4 linked regions of the Bombyx mori genome follow. The protein of the gene in region 1 interacts with the protein of each later gene in a pairwise test. Links are inferred from orthologs where the notes say so. Each region holds a gene or a part of one and is shown in the gene's direction. Other genes may lie near its edges. The genes, in order: rac GTPase-activating protein 1, protein ECT2, kinesin-like protein KIF23 and anillin.

Region 1 (4,788 bases):
CGCCGTGGCTGGCGGGCGAGGACGTGCACGCGGTGTGCGGCTGCGTGAAGGACTTCCTGCGCGGACTGCGCGAGCCGCTGGTGAGCGCGGCGCTGTGGGCCGACTTCATGCAGGCCGCCGCGCTGCCCGACCGCGCCGACGCCGCCGCCGCGCTGCTGCACGCCGTCACGCAGCTGCCGCCGCCCAACCGCGACACGCTCGCCTTCCTCGTGCTGCATCTGCAGAAGTACTCACGCTCACTCACGCTCACGAGCCCCTCTCCTACTCACCTGGGGTCGTCGCAACCTGGTGTTAAGTGGTTACCGGAGCCCATAGACATCTACAACGTAAATGCGCCACCCAACTTGAGATATAAGTTGTACTGATACCTTCAGTATAGTTACAACGGCTGTCCCACTCTTCAAACCGAAACTCATTACTGCTTGACGGCTGAAATAGGCAGAGGGGCGGTACCTACCAGTGCGGATTCACAAGTGGTCCTACCAACATGTTTTCTCTTTCCATACTCCTCTATCATATGCCATTTCTTCGCTCATTCCCCTCTTACACATATAGTCTTTCACGCAATCCATCCATTTTTTCTTATATCTCTCATATTTAAAATTTTCTTAATTTTTTTAATCAAAATTTGATCAAAACAAATATTTTAAAAATTTTGAACTTCGACCTGGTAACGAGACCTTTAAGCCATCAAATCTTTTTTTTTAATATTTAGATTACAGACCTTACACTAATAACAATTTATGACTTGGTACAGAGTGGCAGAGAGCCCCGAATGCGAGATGGGCATAGACAATCTGGCTAAAATATTTGGTCCGACCGTCGTCGGGTACGGCATGATGTCGCAAGCCGCGGAGATGTACGCCGCCACAGCGCAGATGTTCAAGGTAAAATGGAAATGAAATTTACTTAACCTCTTATTTGCGTTTTGTATGTGCTACAGAGAGCGTTTTAAGAAGTGTCTTTTTTATTTCTTAGATATTTGGAAGAGCTCACAGCCCACCTTTTATTAAGTGGTTACTGGAGCCCATGGACATCTATAACGTAAATGCCGCCACCCACCTTGAGATATGCGTTCTAAGGTCTCAGTATAATTACAACAGCTGCCCCACACTTCAAACCGAAACGCATTACTGCTTCCCGGCAGAAATAGGCGGGGTAGTGGCTCACAAGAGGTCCTACCACCATTAATTACGCAAATTATAATTTTGCGGGTTTGATTATTATTACACGATGTTATTCCTTCACCATGCAAGTCAATTGCGAACATTTGATAAGTACGTATTTCATTAGAAAAATTGGTACCCGCCTGTGGTATTGGAACATCGTTGCATCGCTAGATAATATGTTACTACCATCTACAGGAACAATGAGAAACTTATCGAAGCGAAGCCATCTAGTGGCCGACGCCCGTAAACATTTTTGTCGAGCGCTTGAGTTGCTTATCTATAACTGATTTATATGTATTATCTACGGCAGGTGATGCAGATAATGCTGTCGCTGCCGAGCGAGTACTGGGCGCAGTGGGCGTGCCCGGCGGACGGCGCGGGCTCGCCGCGGCCCCGGGCCTTCTTCTTTTCGCCGGCCGACACGGGGCAAGTTCATACACAAACTCACCACAGAATTGTGATCCAATCTATAACTGAGAGCTATAGGCATGAGTGAATGGTAAAACAAATCATACAACTTCACTCCTCGCGTTCCCGCCAAAAAGTCCAATATTTAATCTTTTCTCAATTTGACCACAGACTATTACTTATATTTATTACTTTAAAAAAAAGTTTGACAATAAACATATTGTATGCATGCGTATGTCTGTCAAATACATGGTAGTGTGTGTGTAATGTTTTTATTATTGATTTAATGTATTTGTTATACATAATTTAAAAAAATTTATCAACATTCTGCACTCCTTCTCTATATTCTCTATAAGTGTGGGAAATTTCATACATACTCCGTTCGCGCAATTTTCGTAAAAAGGGATACAATGTTTTTGTTTCACGTATATTAATATATAGATAATTTGTACTCGCAGTGTGTCGAGGAAGAAGCGCAACTATTTCCAGTGAGGAGCGGGCGGCGCGCCAACGCTTATGTTAACCAATCCATTTAAGTATGTTTGTTTTCATTTTCTTCTTTTTCATAATTTAAAACTTGTGTAATTAACTAATAATTTAATATGTAGTTTTGACTTTTGTAATACTTTGAATTGAATTTACTTGGTGATGTACGGAGTTAGCTCGATCCACATTTAACACTAATCATACCAACACTTACTGATGCCTATTTCTACCATAGCGGGTAAATAAAGGTATACAACAACTATTCCTTTAAAAAAACAAAACAAAATAGTATAATAATTGTAGATTAATTGGTAAGAAATAGTCATGAAGTCAAATGTGCAAAAGCAATAAGATGATACGTGCATATTCAATGCTAAAGTCTAAAATGGGTAATTTGACCCGTTATGGTATGTTTAGTGTTAAATATACTTAGCAGTAAGGTACTTATCATTATCATTATTTTTGCTCGCACATTTTTTTTTGTTATTAAAACAAATACAACTTTTTATGTGTTAAAATTAATCAATTACTGAAAAAAAAAAATTAATCTTTGAAAAGTAATAACAAGTAAAAGAGAGACACTTTATTGGCTTTTGCATAAACCTTTGTTTTGGAAATGTGTGATAATTTAATAATTATTGTAAACTACCCGACAATTTAAATAATTAAATTAAAACGCTGTGGATCTTGAGAAACATCTGACAATCATTTTTATTTAATATTGTAAACCGTAGAAATAGTCGCCAATGTAATAACCGTCTATTTGTTCGAACATACTTAGTTAATGTCGTTTAGAATTAAGTTTAGTTATCATGACCTTTACGATAACAGTAGCATTGTAAGTTTTTTCAAGAGCTTTACTGCAGTCTGCGCCGATTTCGAGTGCTGAGTGAAGTCGGAGCGCAATGTAGAGCTTTCTCAAACGAACTTCCGTTAACGTAGTAGTTGTTTTATGATCACTTTAGTACAGAAGTGTTTGTTCAATTGCCACTATGAGCAGACACGAGACAGAACATGTGATATAATTGACGTAGTTACACAACTGAATTGTGTTCTGTGAAACTGTACGTACGAACATCAGTGTGCTTAGTTGTGAGTTTTTTAACGTTCTCGATAGCGTAAAAGTTAACTCAAGTTTGTATGGAGTTGAAACGTTTGCCTACGTTTGCCGCTAGGGGCGCTGTTCTAACTCCATACAAATTTGAGTTAACTTTTACGCTATCGAGAACGTTAAAAAACTCTGACGCATTCGAGCTCGGCGTGCCGCGGTGTGAAGATATGATCAGATTAATTGAATATGCAATTTCGAAAAGGGCACATGTCGCATATTTTGTCAAATGCGTTTTTTCATATACATGTAGTTTTGAGGCTTACCTACACCCATTTTATAATAATTCCAGTAATTTTCAATTGCTAATTAACACTTAAATATATCTCAAAAGTTAATATTTTAAATTTTACACTGCTTTAGAAAATAATCAGTTTTTTTTCTATTTCCTGAATATTTTACATTTTCAGAGATGTGCCCTTTTCGAAATTGCATATTCAATTATATCTTAAGCTAGCTAATTTGTCATTAGTATTTAGTTTTTCTTCCAAATGTATTACTAAACAATAGTTTACATACTTTATGTACTTAACTAGTAAATATATTTTTTTTTAATATATAATAACCCTGCTAATTCTGCTCGCGTGTACTGTAGAATTAAAACTATGACCTCGTGTCTCTGGGAGGGTGGCGGCAGTCGTGTCTGAGCTCCGGGAACGACTTAACAACAAATGGGACTGTGAGCTTGGTCACCCTTATAAACCTGTGAAAGGAAAGTAGTTGTAATCCTAGAACACATTGTGTCTAGATACCATCTAAGTTTGGTGGGGTGATTGTAAAATTGTTTTTAATTTTTTTGTAAATGGTCGTAACCCAATTCAACACACCAAAAAAAGTAATAAAATTATTGTATTGGCAACAGTACTTGGGCATACTTTAAGTAAAGCAAGGGTGGATCCAGCTTTGGCGCCAGGAGGGGGTCACATAGTCGTGGGCAAGTTAAGAACTTATTATTTAATTTTGATAACAATAGATAATAAGTAAATCATGATGTTCTTCAATTAGTCCAAGTTAGTTCAAGTACTGGAACTAGCTCAGGGGGGGGTCATGACCCCCACGACCCCCCCCCCCCTGGATCCGCCGTTGAAGTAAAGCAGCTATTTTGAAATGAATGTGATTTACCTTGAAATGTTTCGTTATCTGGATACAGGTTCAAGTCAATAAAAACATGTTAAAATTTCAGGTAACTCAATTAAAAAAAGTTATAACCATGAGATTCTAGAGATAGATTTGTTGCGTGCGTGTGTGTGTGTGTGTGTTACAAATATGTATTGTTTCGGAGGACTAGTCGTATTCAACGTCTTAGACAAACTATGCGTTTTCATGTATTTTTTTTTCTTCTTTTTTATCTTTGTATAATTTTGTTTGCGGCCGTTACTAACTCGAACATATAGTAGTGTCTCATGACTCTATCAAATACGTTCTCGCCTAAATATCCTTGTTTTAGGTAAGAACCCTGTGAATCGCTAGTAGGGTTGCCACCCGTACTTTATAATAAAGTATTGTACGTTATTTCAGGTAATTGTACTCTATATTTTATGTGAACGATAAAGTACACGAAAATACTTTATTTGATGTACTTTATCTGCAAAAAAAAGGTGGCAACCCTAATCGCTA
Region 2 (4,788 bases), on another chromosome or scaffold:
ACATGTGTCGCATACGCATAGACTTTTATTTTTATAAATTAAGTTTTTACTCCTATATAAAATTAGCTGAAGTTACATGTGCTAGAAACAAAATTTACGTATATACGCGACGGTATAGGGTACTACCTTATGGTATGGCATGGGTATAGAGAAACGGCAAATAAGCTAACTAGCTTTTGCCCGCGACTCCGTTCGCGTGGAACAGTTACTTTGGCATAACGCTAAATTTTACCCCCACTTCATTTACGTAGAAAGTGAAAATATTTTTGAATTATAGAATGTTAAGGAGCTATTTAAACCTCTATTTTGAAACATTCTTTATTGGTGCTCCACTTGTATGGCCTTACCGTGATGTTATATAGCCTATTTATTGCCTTCCTCAGTAAATTAGTTATCTAACCCTGAAATATTTTTTCAAATCGCACCAAGAGTTCCTGAGATTAGCGCGTTCAAACAAACAAACTTTTCAGCTTTATAATATTAATTATCAAATTAGTGTGTTGTCATCGGTCGTCGATAAATCTACAAAGTTTGAATGAAATCTGGCCGATTAAAATGGGTCGAAATCGCGTCTAAAGGAGTCAGTTACAAACATACATACAAGTGAAGCTAATATAAAGCGTGTAAAAAAATTTGGTAATGTCAAACATTAATAGAGTTGTTGAATGTTGACAGACGTACCTGATAACGTTAATACACTACATGGGCGGCTCGATCCGTAAGGACATGTCGAGCAAGGTGACGCACCTGATCGCGGCCGCAGCTACGGGCGAGAAGTACAGGTACGCGTCCGGGTTCGGCCTGCCCGTGCTCGCGCGCTCCTGGGTCGACGCGTGCTGGGAACGGCGAGACGACCCCGCCTGTCTCGCGACCGACGATGTCATAATTGTAAGTATACTCACTCTTGAGACATACCGGTGGTTTTTTTTTAAAGGAATTTTATGACCTGGAAACTAAGACCTTCAAGTCATGTCTTATTTTTACTTAATTTAACTTTTATGATGTGTTTAGGGCGACGTCGACTGTTTACCATTCGGTCCACCGGATCGGCTATAAATAATTACTAGTGGCCGACTGGTAGTCGAAATTCGACTAAAATTAATTTAATTATAAGTTTGAACATTATAAAGGATCTATTGTGAAAGAAAATCATACGACGTCTATAATAACAAATTTCGCCAAGGCTACACTATAGATAAATAATATTGAAGACAAACAATATTAACCTATTCTGAATTTGACCACAGACTTTAACAATAAACAAAAGAGTATATAGTATGGGTGTGTGTGTGTGTGTGTGTCAAATACATGGTTACTTTATACATAACTCTATATTCTCTATAAGTGTGGGAAATTTCATAGTCCTCTGTCCACACAATTTTCGTAAAAAGGGGTACACAGTTTTTTCTTCACGTATGAATATTTAGATATCTTGTGAATTTTTTTTACTATAGTCCGCAGCTTACGACGAACTCAACTGTAGGTACAGATTGTAGCATAGGTAGGTAAAGTAGATTGGTAGGTGGACTCATAGAACGCTGCTGCCCATTATCCAGTGAATCCCTTACTTGCCTTTCACGACATCCAAGAGAAGAGATGCGGTGGTGCTATTCTAGAGGGAGACACATACAACAAAAAATTAGTGTCTTTGAAATCACAGAACAGTTGTCGTTAAAGGAAACCTTATATACAAATATTCGAAATTATAATGTCTGCTTCCTTGTTGACATCATCATTCATGGTCGTTTTAAATCTTGTTTAATGATCATATTATTTGAATATGACCTAATAAAGTCTATTTAAAATCTATTCTGTACGAGAAGGGTATTTTCTAGAAAATATTGTAGTTCTATAGTCATATGTATGTTTATTTATTTATTTTTTATTGCCTTTGTAGGCAGACGAGCATACGGCCCACCTGATGGTAAGTGGTCATCGTCGCTCATGGACATCAGCAACGCCAGGGGCGGAGCCAAGCCGCTGCCTACCATAATATATATGTTAATAATTTTGAGATTAACGTTGTGTTACAGAAAGAACATAAATTGAAAGTTTTCGCCGGAGCGAGGGTGTGCTTCGTCGGCTTCCCGGAGGATGAGACCCAACACATGGGCGAGGTGCTCGCCAGCAACGGAGGCGCCGTCTGTCCACTCGACGATCCGGACTGTACGCACGTCGTAAGTAACATTTATTCATAATTATTTAATAATGTGATCAAATCCTCAAAGAATAGTTCCAATTGGTTAAGGGCATTGAATTTATTCAAGAATAAAATACAAGAACATACAAAACACAAATAAATTTGTTTTGTTTTTAATAAATTAATATATTGTCTCAACTGTTTTATATTCTGTCAGAGAGGCAGGCAATATTTGATAGAGAATGCTTGTCTGATTATTGAATAAAAAGCACTAAATTTCGTAACGGCAGCTCTCATTGTTAAATCTCAGATATTAGAAGCATAAAGTCGGATTTTCATAGTACCAATCTGTAATAGAACATTTCATTTTGTAATTGGCATAAATGTTTTTTTTTAGTTTATAACTATGAGAAAAAAATTTATGATTTGTTTTCTTAATTATGATCCAAAGATTGTCATACAAAACTAAGAAATAAAAAAATTAGACCCAAATCTGTATAGAAATAATTTTTACTAAAAAGTAGTTCCGATTTTATGGTTCTAATTTTGAGAAATATTGCTCTATAATAGTTACATAGATAATATATATTATTAATATTCACACATATAATATTATTCTAAATGACATTTAAGCACTTCAGTGTTATATGACACTGATCTTAAATCTCTGATGTATAAATCTATATGACCCACAAATGTAATTTTTATTTATTAAATTTTATTCAACTCTGTAGCATATGCATATGTATATAAACTTTTGGATGCATTGCGTATCTGTTTATTTATAAAATTCTCACAGTTTATTTTTAGTTTATTTTGCACATTAGTCATCAAGCTTAGCGTTGTGAAATCAGCATGTAGTATGCACGTATTACCCTCGGGAACACCAGCTATTATATTATTTACACTGCATTAGTTGTCATCTAGATATTCAGTAATGTACTCAGATATATTTTTAAATTCATTAACTATTTTGATAGTGGAGCTCTATTTAGCAACATTGTCAATGTCAGCCGTTGTTTGTGTAACACATTGAACGGCTAAGTAGTATTGCAAACACACATTATCAGCTGCTTTACGACTCAATGTCGGTAGTTGTAGTTTCATAATCAAACGACAGATAGTTATGCTAATGTTTAACTCAGATAGATACCACTGTCCCACATTCTGGTATTTGAGTGTAAGGCCATTCATACTTTCATGTGTTATTTACCTATTGTGGATACTTTTAGTTCTGTAACAGCTTAAGAGTCGCTTAGCGAGCACTAGAATTGCATCCCTCTCTTTCCTCACCGCACGACGTAAAGTCGACCCATTGTTTTTTTAAACATTATCTATAGAATGTATACTTAAAAAAAAATATAACAGGTTTTAATGACCGTACTCTGTAATTTGCGCACTTACATACACAGAACACATTTCATTTGCTGATGTGAATACTGCGCTATAATCACTGTTTGGTCGACTCAGTATTGTGCTTTCACTGTTTGCTGTCAATATTTTATTATTAGCGAACCTACAGTAGTGCAGTAGAATTATTTAATATATATAATTTTTTTATGTAAAATTAATTAATATTGACAACTCAATTCATTATTTTGGTCGAGATAAAATAATTCTTGACCAATTACATTAACATAGAACAGACACCAGCTTCTTTATGTTCTAACTATTTAATCACGTTGATAATCGTGATGCATGTTTGTATCGGAATGGCTTCATTACATCATTGCGTGGTGTGTTCACACATGTTTCAGGTTATGGCCAATGGGGAGACTTTCGGTCGTTCGCTTATCCTATCGCCTCACCAGACCACTCCGAGCTCCTCTTCTAAACCATCCCGATCGACTCCCAATCGTTCTCAGTCCACTCCAAAGACTTCGTTATACCGTAGACTATCGGCACGGCTGTCAGGATGCCGCGCTAGTCCTGTCAAACATGCAGCCGATACTAGCCATGAAGTTCTCCACGATGAAAAGGACAAACGCATACAGCGAGCTTTAAGTGAAATTCGAGAAAAACAATACACATCCAAAGATAAATTAGCTGATAGTTTAGTAGGGAAATCGTATACAGACGATTTTTATTCTTATAAAGAAGAAAAAAATAGTTCACACGGTGAACGTATAGAGTACCGAAAACATAGTAACGGCGGCAAAGAAAATAAAGATTCCCAAACGAGCCACGGATCTTTGAAATGTAACGTAAAAGATAAACGAGAAGTATTTCGTAACAAATCTATGAATGTATTTAATCTAGTCGATTGTTTCAACGAAGTTGGCTCTCTCCATTCTTCTCTCACTAAGAGCTTATGTGATCTTGATCCTAAAGGTGAATTCTTGTTGCCGACCCCCACTCGAAATAAAGAATTGCAACAATCTACGACCACTATTTCATCTGGTAAAAAAAGAAGTCGCAATTCGACTGATACAAATTTTCAAGAAAGCACCGTCGATGTGAATTTATCTCCTGATAAATGTGATGAGAATAATTGTAAATCCATAAAAAGGTTGAAAATTAAAGATTCCTTCAAATTTAAAACTAAACCAACGATTTTCAAAAAATCTAAAAGAGAATCTCTCACCAAACCCACAGGCGACATAATAGTGGAGCCAGTAAGTCCAGAAAACGTTAAACCAACAGATCCA
Region 3 (5,545 bases), on another chromosome or scaffold:
TTCTATCATTCCACGCAGTAGTTGTTGGCAGTCAGGTGGTACAAAGTGCGGCACGTGAAACACTCCTCGTTTCACCTTGAATCAAATAAGGATGTATATTAAATTATACCATAGATTTTCATACATAACTATTTATTTGTTAGTTAAGAAAATTATTCTTTTTTTTCATATAAAATTTCAATTCCAATGCTTCGGGTCAGTTGATTAAATTTAAACTTGTTATTCTATTGATTTTGTACTAATGATGTTAACTTTGTTATATTTTGCATTTCCTTGGAAAATTATTTTCACCTTTACCTAACATGCTATAACAGATCTGCAATTCTTTAACTGGATTCGTGTTACCGGTGTAAGTACTCTTTAATTACGTGGAATCGTTCGCCGATTCATACCGAGAACCCTTTACCTTTTCAAGTAATTGACGTAAATTATCATCGTCAAAAGGCAGCGCACCGACGAGAAGTGCGTACAAGATGACACCGCACGACCAGACGTCCGCCCTCCGACCATCGTATTTCTCACCCTGAAATGAATTTCATCCATTTCGTGAGCAACAGTTTTCATTTCTAAACGATGCATTGTTTGTTTACATACATTTTCATAATTTGTTTTGTTTACGAACTTTGACAGCGGAAACGTTCCATTCTCTGTTATAATAAACTTCAAACTGGGCAGTTTTTTATTAATTAATTTGGAATTGATTTAGAAGTACACTTAAAGAAAGTTTTTTTAAGTTCCAACATATTGTTAAAAAAATAATGATGTAAGTGTTGTAGGCAATAATTCTATAATAGCAATGCTTATGAACGGATTGATTTAATATTACGTAGAACGAAAATATTTTTATTCCTATAATTATGTTGGCAGAACTGCCAATCATGGTGACCACTCAAGAATAATATGAAAAGTCCCTGAAATTTGGGAATTCTCAAAATAAAGTAAAAAAAAAACTGCAAAACAGAATAAGGGTGAGTGTTCCGTTAAATGTGGGAAAGTAGTGAAGCAATACAACTGCAGATAGATAGAGTAGCAATACGGTTATTAAAAATAATGTGTTAGCGGCAAACACACAGGCGTGTATATACTTAGCTTTTAATATTGACATAGTGTAAAGGATAAAGTACTCAATGTATTCACATCGAGCTATCTTACTATGTCAGTGTACAAATCTTAGAGACGGGTACCGATTTTTTAAGCGAAATACGTACTCAGCTCATGCCTACGAATGGATTTCACGTTGAAGGAAAACATTATGCAATAAAAATTAAGCCTGCAACAGTAATAATTTACAGAATTTCTGGTATTAGGATCTCTCGTAACCCAGAGTGGTTACACCCAACAACCAGCATATTTCTGACACGTAGAAGTAATGCGTTTCGGTTTTATTGGTTAGCTGCTTTATATCGCAATCGAGACCTAGATCGAACATTTCAAGGTCAGTGGCCATATTTACATTTTGATATTTATGGTTTCCCTCCAGTAAATCTTTACTAGCTGGGCTCTAAGCTCATTCAATCGTCTATGCAAAATAAAACGACGTTTTAGTTCAAATAAATCTAGCAGACCAGGCCTAGTGAAACTGGTTCACATGTTCACATCCTTAGAGAAAAATTCAACTGCAGACTTTTTGTTCGAGTTTGAATATGTAAGTAATGGCAGACAACACTTGTCACATGTGAAGTAACAGTTTTCGAATGTTGGAATGCTTATTTAAATATTTAAAACAGATGATTGTCTTCTCTTCAGTCATGACGAAGACTTATGTCTAGACACGGACAGTGCAACATCTTAGGGCTTTATAAAAATAAAATACATATTGCAATGGGGTAATACTGTACAAAATGTTTGTAATATATTTAACCATGAAGCAGTGTTTTTAAATAGCCCCTCACCTACAAAACCCAAACCCCTCAAATTTAACCGTCCAACACTTTTCCATTTATCTAAGTTGCTTCAGGAAAAATCAATCTATTAGCTGGTATCATTAGTAACAAAAATGTCAAAACTTTAAAAAGAAACGGGTAGATATAATCCGACCGAACTCAAATGGTATTTCCGCTAAACGACCTTGGTATCCTTTCGTATAATTTTTACTGCCATTATTAAAAAGTGACAGCAAATAAGTTGATTTTAAATTAGTCAGTTAATATTGATATTTCATGAACGGCCGTTCAGAGACCGTTGCTTTGATTTATTGAAAGTCGTTGAAGCGATATTCAACCGAAATATTTAAATATTATATGTGACGATAAAATATAACAAAAATGAAGTCCGTTAAATCGAAACAGAGATTAAACGAGATGCGAACGCCGGCGCGTAGTAAACAAAATCTCGCTCAGGACCGCGATCCTGTACAAGTCTACTGTAGACTTCGCCCCATGCAAAGAGAAAGTGATGTGTCGTGTATGAAGATTATATCACCAACCACATTACTCCTAACGCCGCCAGCAACGGCGTTAAGCTACAGAAATGAAGGCAGCAAAACCATGAAATACACATTCAAAGAGATTTTCCCGCCGGAAGCGTCACAGCAAGAAGTTTTCGATAAAGTCTCACTGCCGTTAGTCGAAGGCTTGATTAAAGGTAAAAACGGCTTGTTATTCACCTACGGGGTCACGGGCAGCGGGAAAACGTTCACGATGACCGGCGAGCCCCAGAACTGCGGGATATTACCACGATGTTTGAATATTATTTTCAAAACTATTAACGATTTCCAAGCTCACAAATATGTGTTCAAACCGGACAAAATGAACATGTTCGATATTCAAAACGAAGCGGAGGCCATGCTAGAGAGGCAACAGGAACTTCACAAATTTAAAACTGGGAAGAAAAATAATTCGAATCCGGATTTAGCTATGGCATCCACGGATATAACTAAAGTAGAAGGTATCAATGAAGACAATCAGTACGCTGTGTTCGTTACATATGTAGAAATCTACAATAACAGTGTTTTTGACTTGTTAGAAGATGGTCCTCCGATTAGTAGGAACCTTCCAGTGAAGATAATAAGAGAAGATGCAGCCCATAATATGTATGTCCACGGGGTTACTGAAATCGAGATTAAGTCAGCTGAGGATGCCTTTGATGCTTTCTATTTAGGTTTGAAACGGAAACGAATGGCTCACACGACTCTGAACGCAGAATCAAGCCGAAGTCACTCAGTGTTCACAATACGATTAGTGCAGGCACCAGTTGACGAGATGGGAGAAGCTGTGATACAAAATAAAAAGTTCTTGAATATTAGTCAACTGAGTCTTGTTGATTTAGCTGGTAGCGAAAGAACTAACCGAACCAAAAACACAGGACAAAGACTAAGAGAAGCCGGGAATATTAATAAGTCATTGATGACTCTTAGAACCTGCTTAGAAGCGTTGAGAGAAAATCAAATTAACAGTGCTAATAACATGGTGCCCTATAGAGAGTCTAAAATTACTCATCTCTTCAAAAATTTCTTTGAAGGTGAAGGACAAGTAAGGATGATAGTCTGTGCAAATCCAAGAGCTGAAGATTATGATGAAACCCTCCAAGTGATGAGATTTGCTGAGATGGCAGCAGAAGTTGAAGTTGCTAAACCCCAAGTAATAGATGTCGCAACAACAATAGGTTTGATGTCTGGCCGCAGAAAGGCTAATAGACTCTTCACAACAGCTCGTGACAATATGGCGAGACCGGAGGCTAAAGATTTGGACTTAGATCTAGGTTTGGTATACAGCCTCGGGCCAGACTTCCCAAGCTTGGAACTGAATAGCTCTCAAGCTGCCCATATAATTAAGGAACTGATGGCACATTTAGAAATGAGAATCAGTCGCAGAGAAACACTTAAGAGAAGTAAGGCGGTGAAGGATGAAAGACTGAGGTCAGCCCTGTTGGATCTTGAAAAAGAATCATTAGAAGTGAGAAGTGAAAACTCATCATTGAGGGGACAGCTGGCAGCCTCTGAACGCAGGATTCGAGCTTTAGAAGAACGCTTGACAGCCACAGAAAATGCATCTCTCACGCACCAAAGAAAATTGGCAGAAATGACTGAATACACATCATCTTTAAAGAGAGATCTACAGGAAAAAGAATATTTGCTCAACCAGAATAAGTTTGAGAAAGAAAAGCAGAAAAAGATCCTTGAAAGAAAATACAACCACAAGATTGCCGCCGAACAGGAGAAGGCAAAAGAGATAAACACAGAAAAGGAAAGATTAAGAAATGCAGTTGAGGAAAAAGAAAACTGTTTACGTAAAGTCAAAGAAGCGTTAAATGTTGATATGGCAGACAGAGGAGACAACTTTGATTATCCACGCTCCACAACTGAAATTGGTGCTCAGACCAGTCATTTTACACCGGGCTCCACACCGAGAGCTCTACCCGCACACCTCTTGACCCCATTCAGTTCAGCTCCACAATCACGCGACACACCAACATCAAGAAGAGGGGTCGCTGTAGCGAATCCACGCCATAGACGGTCATTGTCAGCTGATGGTCGAGGCTGGGTGGAACACGCACCTAACAAGCTAGTCCCAATGGGCACAGTCATGAAGCCAAGCATGACGAATAGCAAAATCGTTAATAAACTGACAACGGTCAAAGACATTGCCAATTCGAAAACGTCAAAATACTGTCTTATATCGCAAGAGCAAGATACTGATGGTGAATTGGAGACGAAACTGTACAAAGGTGATGTTGTACCCACCTGCGGGGGAGGAGCTCAAGTTATATTCAATGATGTTGAAATGCTAAAACAGTTTTCTCCGACAAGGGAATCGCAGAGATTGTCCAGCAATAGCTGTGCTAGACATTCCGGCAAGAGGAGAGACACCGCTTCTTCACCACCACAAACACCATCAAACACCAGTAAGAAGCAGAGAGTTGATGACGAATGATCTTGGACGTGATCAGGTAAAGTGAAATAAGTGGAAGAATATAAATATGTTTTTGTGGTGCATAGAACTTGTTCGATTTCTTAATATAATTATTAAATTGAGGTTTGGTAGGAATTTTCATTCAAAATCATTGAATATGTAAAAAAGTTAAACTACCTACATTCCTGATTATTATCATGATTGTAATTCTAGTAGAATCTAGAACTTGTGACTTTCAAATTATCTTTTTTATGCTTTCTATTTTCAACTGACTTAAAAGTGGCCAGTGACAGATTCAGTGAATTTTTTTCTTTTCCAAGACATTCTCAATGTTATTTTTGAACATATATACTTAAAATACATTCTGTGATTGTATATTTGCTCATAAAATGTACCATTATATTGTAATACTTACTAACATAATTATTTGATAGCTTATGACATTCCTTGATGTTAGGGTTTTAGTAACATTAAAGCTGTTTACCGTCGTGTTGGCACTGATGGTAGGTCTTTCACTTAATCCCAGGATTCTGAACCAAGACAGATCGAGATGTCACTAAGACATATTTTGCCAATAAAACTTTGAATATTATTACAAAATCATTAACCTTACTTAAAACTTTATTTGCTATACAAATGGTAAACACTGAAATATAAATAATTATGAAATTTCGAAAAGGGCACATATCTGAAAA
Region 4 (4,788 bases), on another chromosome or scaffold:
GTAAATGCGCCACCCACCTTGAGATATAAGTTCTAAGATCTCAAGTATAGTTACAACGGCTGCCCCATCCTTCAAACCGAAACGCATTACTGCTTTACGGCAGAAATAGGCGGGGCGGTGGTACCTACTCGTACGGATTCACAAGAGGTCCTACCACCAGTAATGATTGTCGATATGTAACTGCGCGTATGTTGCAGCGCACCGTCGGCAGGCGTGTCTGCACGAGATGCAGCGGCTGCAGGTGGAGGGCGCGGGCCCGGCCGCCGCCGCGGGGCTGGCCTCGCTCTCCGTCGCGGCGCTCAACGTGCCGCTGCGCCGGGACTACGTGCGCCAGCTCAACGCCGGTCCGTACTGTGTGCGGTCTTGTAGCCGACTCTTTTATTTATCTAAATTTATTTTTATTTATTTATTTATTTATTACAAAAACATACAATTTTAATCATAATAACAAATATTGAAACGATGTTATCTGCTGTAGTCATAGACTGTGTTGCAGATAACAACGCCAACCCCTACACACAACGAACAATAACATATAAATTTAAATTTAAATTTAAATTTAAATATATATAATTTTTTTAAATAATATAATTTAAATATATATTATATTTAAATATAAATATATAAAAAAAATGGTACTTTTGGTACATTCCCGATCCTGTGGACAAAATGGAAAGCAGTCGACGTCGCCTCAAACACGTCATTTCGGATCCTCCAGATCCACTAACGTGCTTCTAAGTACCTCAAGCACCAGTCATCGTTCTTGTCGAACCCGTCGCTTGCGACGAAGGGCTGGATGAGTAAATTAACCCTCAGACACAGCCCACTGAGTTTCTCGCCGGATCTTCTCAGTGGGTCACGTTTCCGATCCGGTGGTAGATTCTGCACTGGTAGCACTGCTCTTGCTAGGGTTCGTGTTAGCAACGTCGTCAGGTTCGAGCCCAGTGAGCTCGCCTACTAGTTAAGGTTACGCTGAAATAGCCTCAAGGCTATCAGCTTAGGTAGGAAAAAAAAAAGTTTGATAGCTAAACAAAACGCAGCACGATTCTCGAGAGATGGCAGCACGATCGTGGTAACGTAACTCTGCTAACTTCGTGCTACGACAGAGCCTAGCCGATGGAGGCGCGTAGACATACAGAAATAAAGTATTTGACAATAGAACCGTAATAATGTTCAAACTTATAATTTAAATCAATAATTATAGCCGAGTTTCGACTACTGGGCGGCTACTAGTCTAAATAGAAACAAAAAAATACGCAATTTATTAGAGGTAAATTAATGTTGATACTTTTGGCATGCGTAATGCGCAAAGTGCACGAGGGGGTCCGATTTATAACAAAAAAAAAAAGTTTATAACTGTTTGTTCCCTAAACTACTTAAATTTTAATACCTAAAGTAATTGGTATGTGAAAATCTTGGTTAATAAGATTGATGAAACCTTTCAGAAGAAAATTTTTTGATCTATTCATGATTAAAATGAAACGTTACAGATGGCGCCGTCGGGCATCACGCCGTGTGTCTGCTGAAATGTCGGGACAGAGTTCTGGCGACCAGCATGCAGCAAACTAAACCAACAAACAACACTATACATTTCCCCGATGAAATCAAAATGCTCGGACTCTCTAGCGATTTTAAGGTAAGTGATTTAATAGTAGCCGGTGGATGCTGGAAACTCATTGGGGAGCTTATACATACTTATTGCGTAACGGTTAACAAGCTCACGACCTAATTGATCAAAAGTGTGTAAGATGACCTCATGTATCGGTTTGGATAATGGATTTTGTATACTGTGAAGACCAGATAAACTTCATTAGTGTTCAAATCTAAGTCAATAAAATTCGTACTAATCCTATATTGCAGGAAATCGAAGAACTTAGCTATTATATTTATTTTTGCAGGTGACAGTGGAAGTTTATTTATTGCAAGCATCCAAAGAAATGTTGCCACACGATGTCAAATATCATATTTTCAACAAAAAGGTAAATTAACTTGGCCTAACTTGAAACGTTTCATACGTGTCAGCTTTAGTTGAATATTGATTTTAAACCCACTGAGTTTCTCGCCGGATCTTCTCAGTGGGTCGCGTTTCGGATCCGGTGGTAGATTCTGCGAAGCACGGCTCTTGCTGGGGTCAGTGTTAGCAACACTCCGGTTTGAGCCCCGTGAGCTCACCTACACGTTAGGGCGAAGCTGATATAGCCTCTCAAGGCTATCAGCATAGGTAGGGAAAAATATATATTGAGAGGTGTCAAGGGACACCCGGATGAAACGAAGTTCCTTTCGATTAATTACTGAAGGAATTGTAATCTTTTCTTTAAGTTATAATAAAAATCTGTATACAACAAAAATAATCATCGCGACACCACTCTGTTCAGTGCGAAATAGAAAGACGAAACGAAAATAGCTGGCTTGCTTTCTATTAGAGAGAGAGAGACAGACAGACAGACAGAGAAACACGCGCACGCCGCACGGCTTACAACTATAGCAAAGTGTCGTTACAACTTTTTGCTTTAATTTTTTCCGTCTGGAGCCCCCTTTCGCAACGCGCGATAAGGAATTTCGTTCCAATTATTATTTTAGTTGAATATTGAGTTGATTTGTTGGTTTCCAGTCGAGTTCAAAGCTCTTAACGCCGAAGTCGAAAGTGTCGGAGCTGAAAGCGCCCCGCGTGCAGAGTCCGGGCGGGCCGCACACTGTCCGCACGCCGCAGTTCCAGCTGCACGGCTACTGCATCTTTGCGCTGCAGCAGGCCTCCAGGACCAGCTTCACTTTGAATAAGGTCACTTATAATAATAATCATAAATATTCTGAGATTATATTTAATCCCATATCATCTCATCTCATTTCATTTAAATTCATCCCAGTTGATTAATGTCTCAAATTAATAATCTTCATTTCATTTCACTCCATAATATCATTTTTCATAAAAATATAAATATAAATTAAAATAAGACATGACTTAAAGGTCTTAGTTACCATAAATATCATAAAATCCCTTAAAAAAAAAAATTAATATTTACTAACAATCACGCCATGTTAACTGGTCCCGTGATAAGTTCGTAAAGTGCTTGTGTTACAGGTACCAGATAACGAAAATAAATCTAAGATTTTGATTCGACACATACATATATTTAGTATACATCCATAACCCTGGAAAAGATATTTATATTTATCATACAAATATCCTCCCTTGTCGGGATTCGAACCCGCGACCCCCTTGTCTGCCTACAAAGGCAATAAAATAAAATAAATATATTTTGAATCAATTACCTTAAGACAGTAAGTGTTGACTGGTACTACAAATCGTCACGTAATTATAAAGCGTACCTGATATGCGACTCTCCTCTCTTTTTTAAAATGAATCCTTTTTTTTAAATAATAAATAAATAAAAATGAACCAGTCAGTCAAACCAGTAATGGATTTTAAACTTTAACATCATTCTTTCTCCAAAAAATAATGTACTGCGAATATTAGATTTAACTCGGCTGGCTATTATACTATATACACACATTATGATATCACAGATTAGTCTCAACCCGCTGAGTTTCTCGCCGGATCTTCTCAGCGGGTCGCGATTCCGATCCGGTGGTAGATTCATTCGTGAAGCTGCTCTTGAGTTGTTAGGTCAGCTGTTACGTATCCTTTGAAGGCGCACGGGTAGCTGTTAACAAATCCCACCCCTCTTGACTGAGCATTTGCTCGCCCACCTGCCCTGGTAAAACTCGAAAGGCCTCCGGGCCACCAGTAACCTCTCGAACATTAAAAAAAACATTGTTCTGTCGGACAACTTAAAAAGGTAAAATTTTATACAATCAAAACCGTTTACTGCGACATCATTTAATACAACATGCCGGTTATAATAACCAAGAACAAAGGTCCCGGCTGAATGCCATATGACCGCCTTATTAAAAATATTGCTTTCTACGACATTGGTAATAACGACATACCTCATAAAACGACCACATTTAACTAATATTTCGGACAATTAGATCTGTTAGAACGACCAGCTAAGTTGTATTGTAAACAATTTGAATAGGTATCCACATTTGTCTTCAATGGCTTTTAAAATCGGGAAAGAAAACAATAGGATTTAGTTTAGTGTAGGGTCTTTTCTAATTCTTAGAAACAAAACACGTGCATGCGGTAGTCATAGCCCGCTTCTTCATATCTCTTCAGTTAGTTTGTTACTTATTTATACACAAGACGCACCAAAACTTTGTGGAGTTATTCGTGAAGCTTTCAAAATGTCGCAAAGAAAAAGAAAACAAATTAATATTGAAGAAAAATCGCGTATTATGTAAATATATTTTTCCAATAATTCCCTATCGATTTGTTTGTACTTGCACGATACACATTAAACATCACCGGTTGTTACGACTATCGGTTTTTACGACTGAATATGAACAGTCCCTTCGATGTCGTTATAACAGATTTTGACTGTATTTCATAATTGAATGATAATATTGTGCTTAATATCTTGCGTGCGGTCCCAGGTCCCTATGGGCAGTCCGCTGGAGGGCTCGGTGTGCGTGGAGGTGCGCGCGCGCGTGGCCGTGCCGCCCCCCGCGCCGCACGCCGCCTTCCTCACCGCCTTCGATGACGTCAGCGGGCTGGGCGCCTGGCACCGCCGCTGGTTCCGCCTGCAGACGCCCCGCCTGGCCTACTGGAAGTACCCTGACGATGTCCACAAGAAGGTATCACCTACTGTCACCTCAACACCTAGACAAGCTTTTTCGTTAAATTTAGACCAGTAGATAACATGATCCAGTCCCATGGTAGATCACAAT

What was found.
Region 2: the proteins of rac GTPase-activating protein 1 (region 1) and protein ECT2 interact in a two-hybrid assay, tested with the Drosophila melanogaster proteins (2 studies listed by BioGRID). The link is inferred for Bombyx mori from reciprocal best matches to the Drosophila melanogaster genes tum and pbl.
Region 3: the proteins of rac GTPase-activating protein 1 (region 1) and kinesin-like protein KIF23 interact in a two-hybrid assay, tested with the Drosophila melanogaster proteins (3 studies listed by BioGRID). The link is inferred for Bombyx mori from reciprocal best matches to the Drosophila melanogaster genes tum and pav.
Region 4: the proteins of rac GTPase-activating protein 1 (region 1) and anillin interact in a two-hybrid assay, tested with the Drosophila melanogaster proteins (2 studies listed by BioGRID). The link is inferred for Bombyx mori from reciprocal best matches to the Drosophila melanogaster genes tum and scra.

Annotation. Positions count from the first base shown.
Region 1 is NC_085114.1:3,021,801-3,026,588, reverse strand, and holds part of rac GTPase-activating protein 1, read left to right. Parts: coding exon 1-226; intron 227-757; coding exon 758-887; intron 888-1,479; coding exon 1,480-1,595; intron 1,596-2,035; coding exon 2,036-2,069; 3' UTR 2,070-4,788.
Region 2 is NC_085121.1:10,890,567-10,895,354, reverse strand, and holds part of protein ECT2, read left to right. Parts: intron 1-675; coding exon 676-888; intron 889-2,033; coding exon 2,034-2,177; intron 2,178-3,897; coding exon 3,898-4,788.
Region 3 is NC_085129.1:18,298,049-18,303,593, reverse strand, and holds the start of kinesin-like protein KIF23, read left to right. Parts: upstream 1-1,991; 5' UTR 1,992-2,264; coding exon 2,265-4,871; 3' UTR 4,872-5,545. Other genes in the region: serine/threonine-protein kinase BRSK2, read right to left, coding at 1-75, 407-523.
Region 4 is NC_085126.1:7,234,777-7,239,564, reverse strand, and holds part of anillin, read left to right. Parts: intron 1-197; coding exon 198-344; intron 345-1,490; coding exon 1,491-1,636; intron 1,637-1,898; coding exon 1,899-1,979; intron 1,980-2,611; coding exon 2,612-2,779; intron 2,780-4,494; coding exon 4,495-4,695; intron 4,696-4,788. UniProt on the Drosophila melanogaster protein: Required for cytokinesis. Essential for the structural integrity of the cleavage furrow and for completion of cleavage furrow ingression and proper formation of the midbody.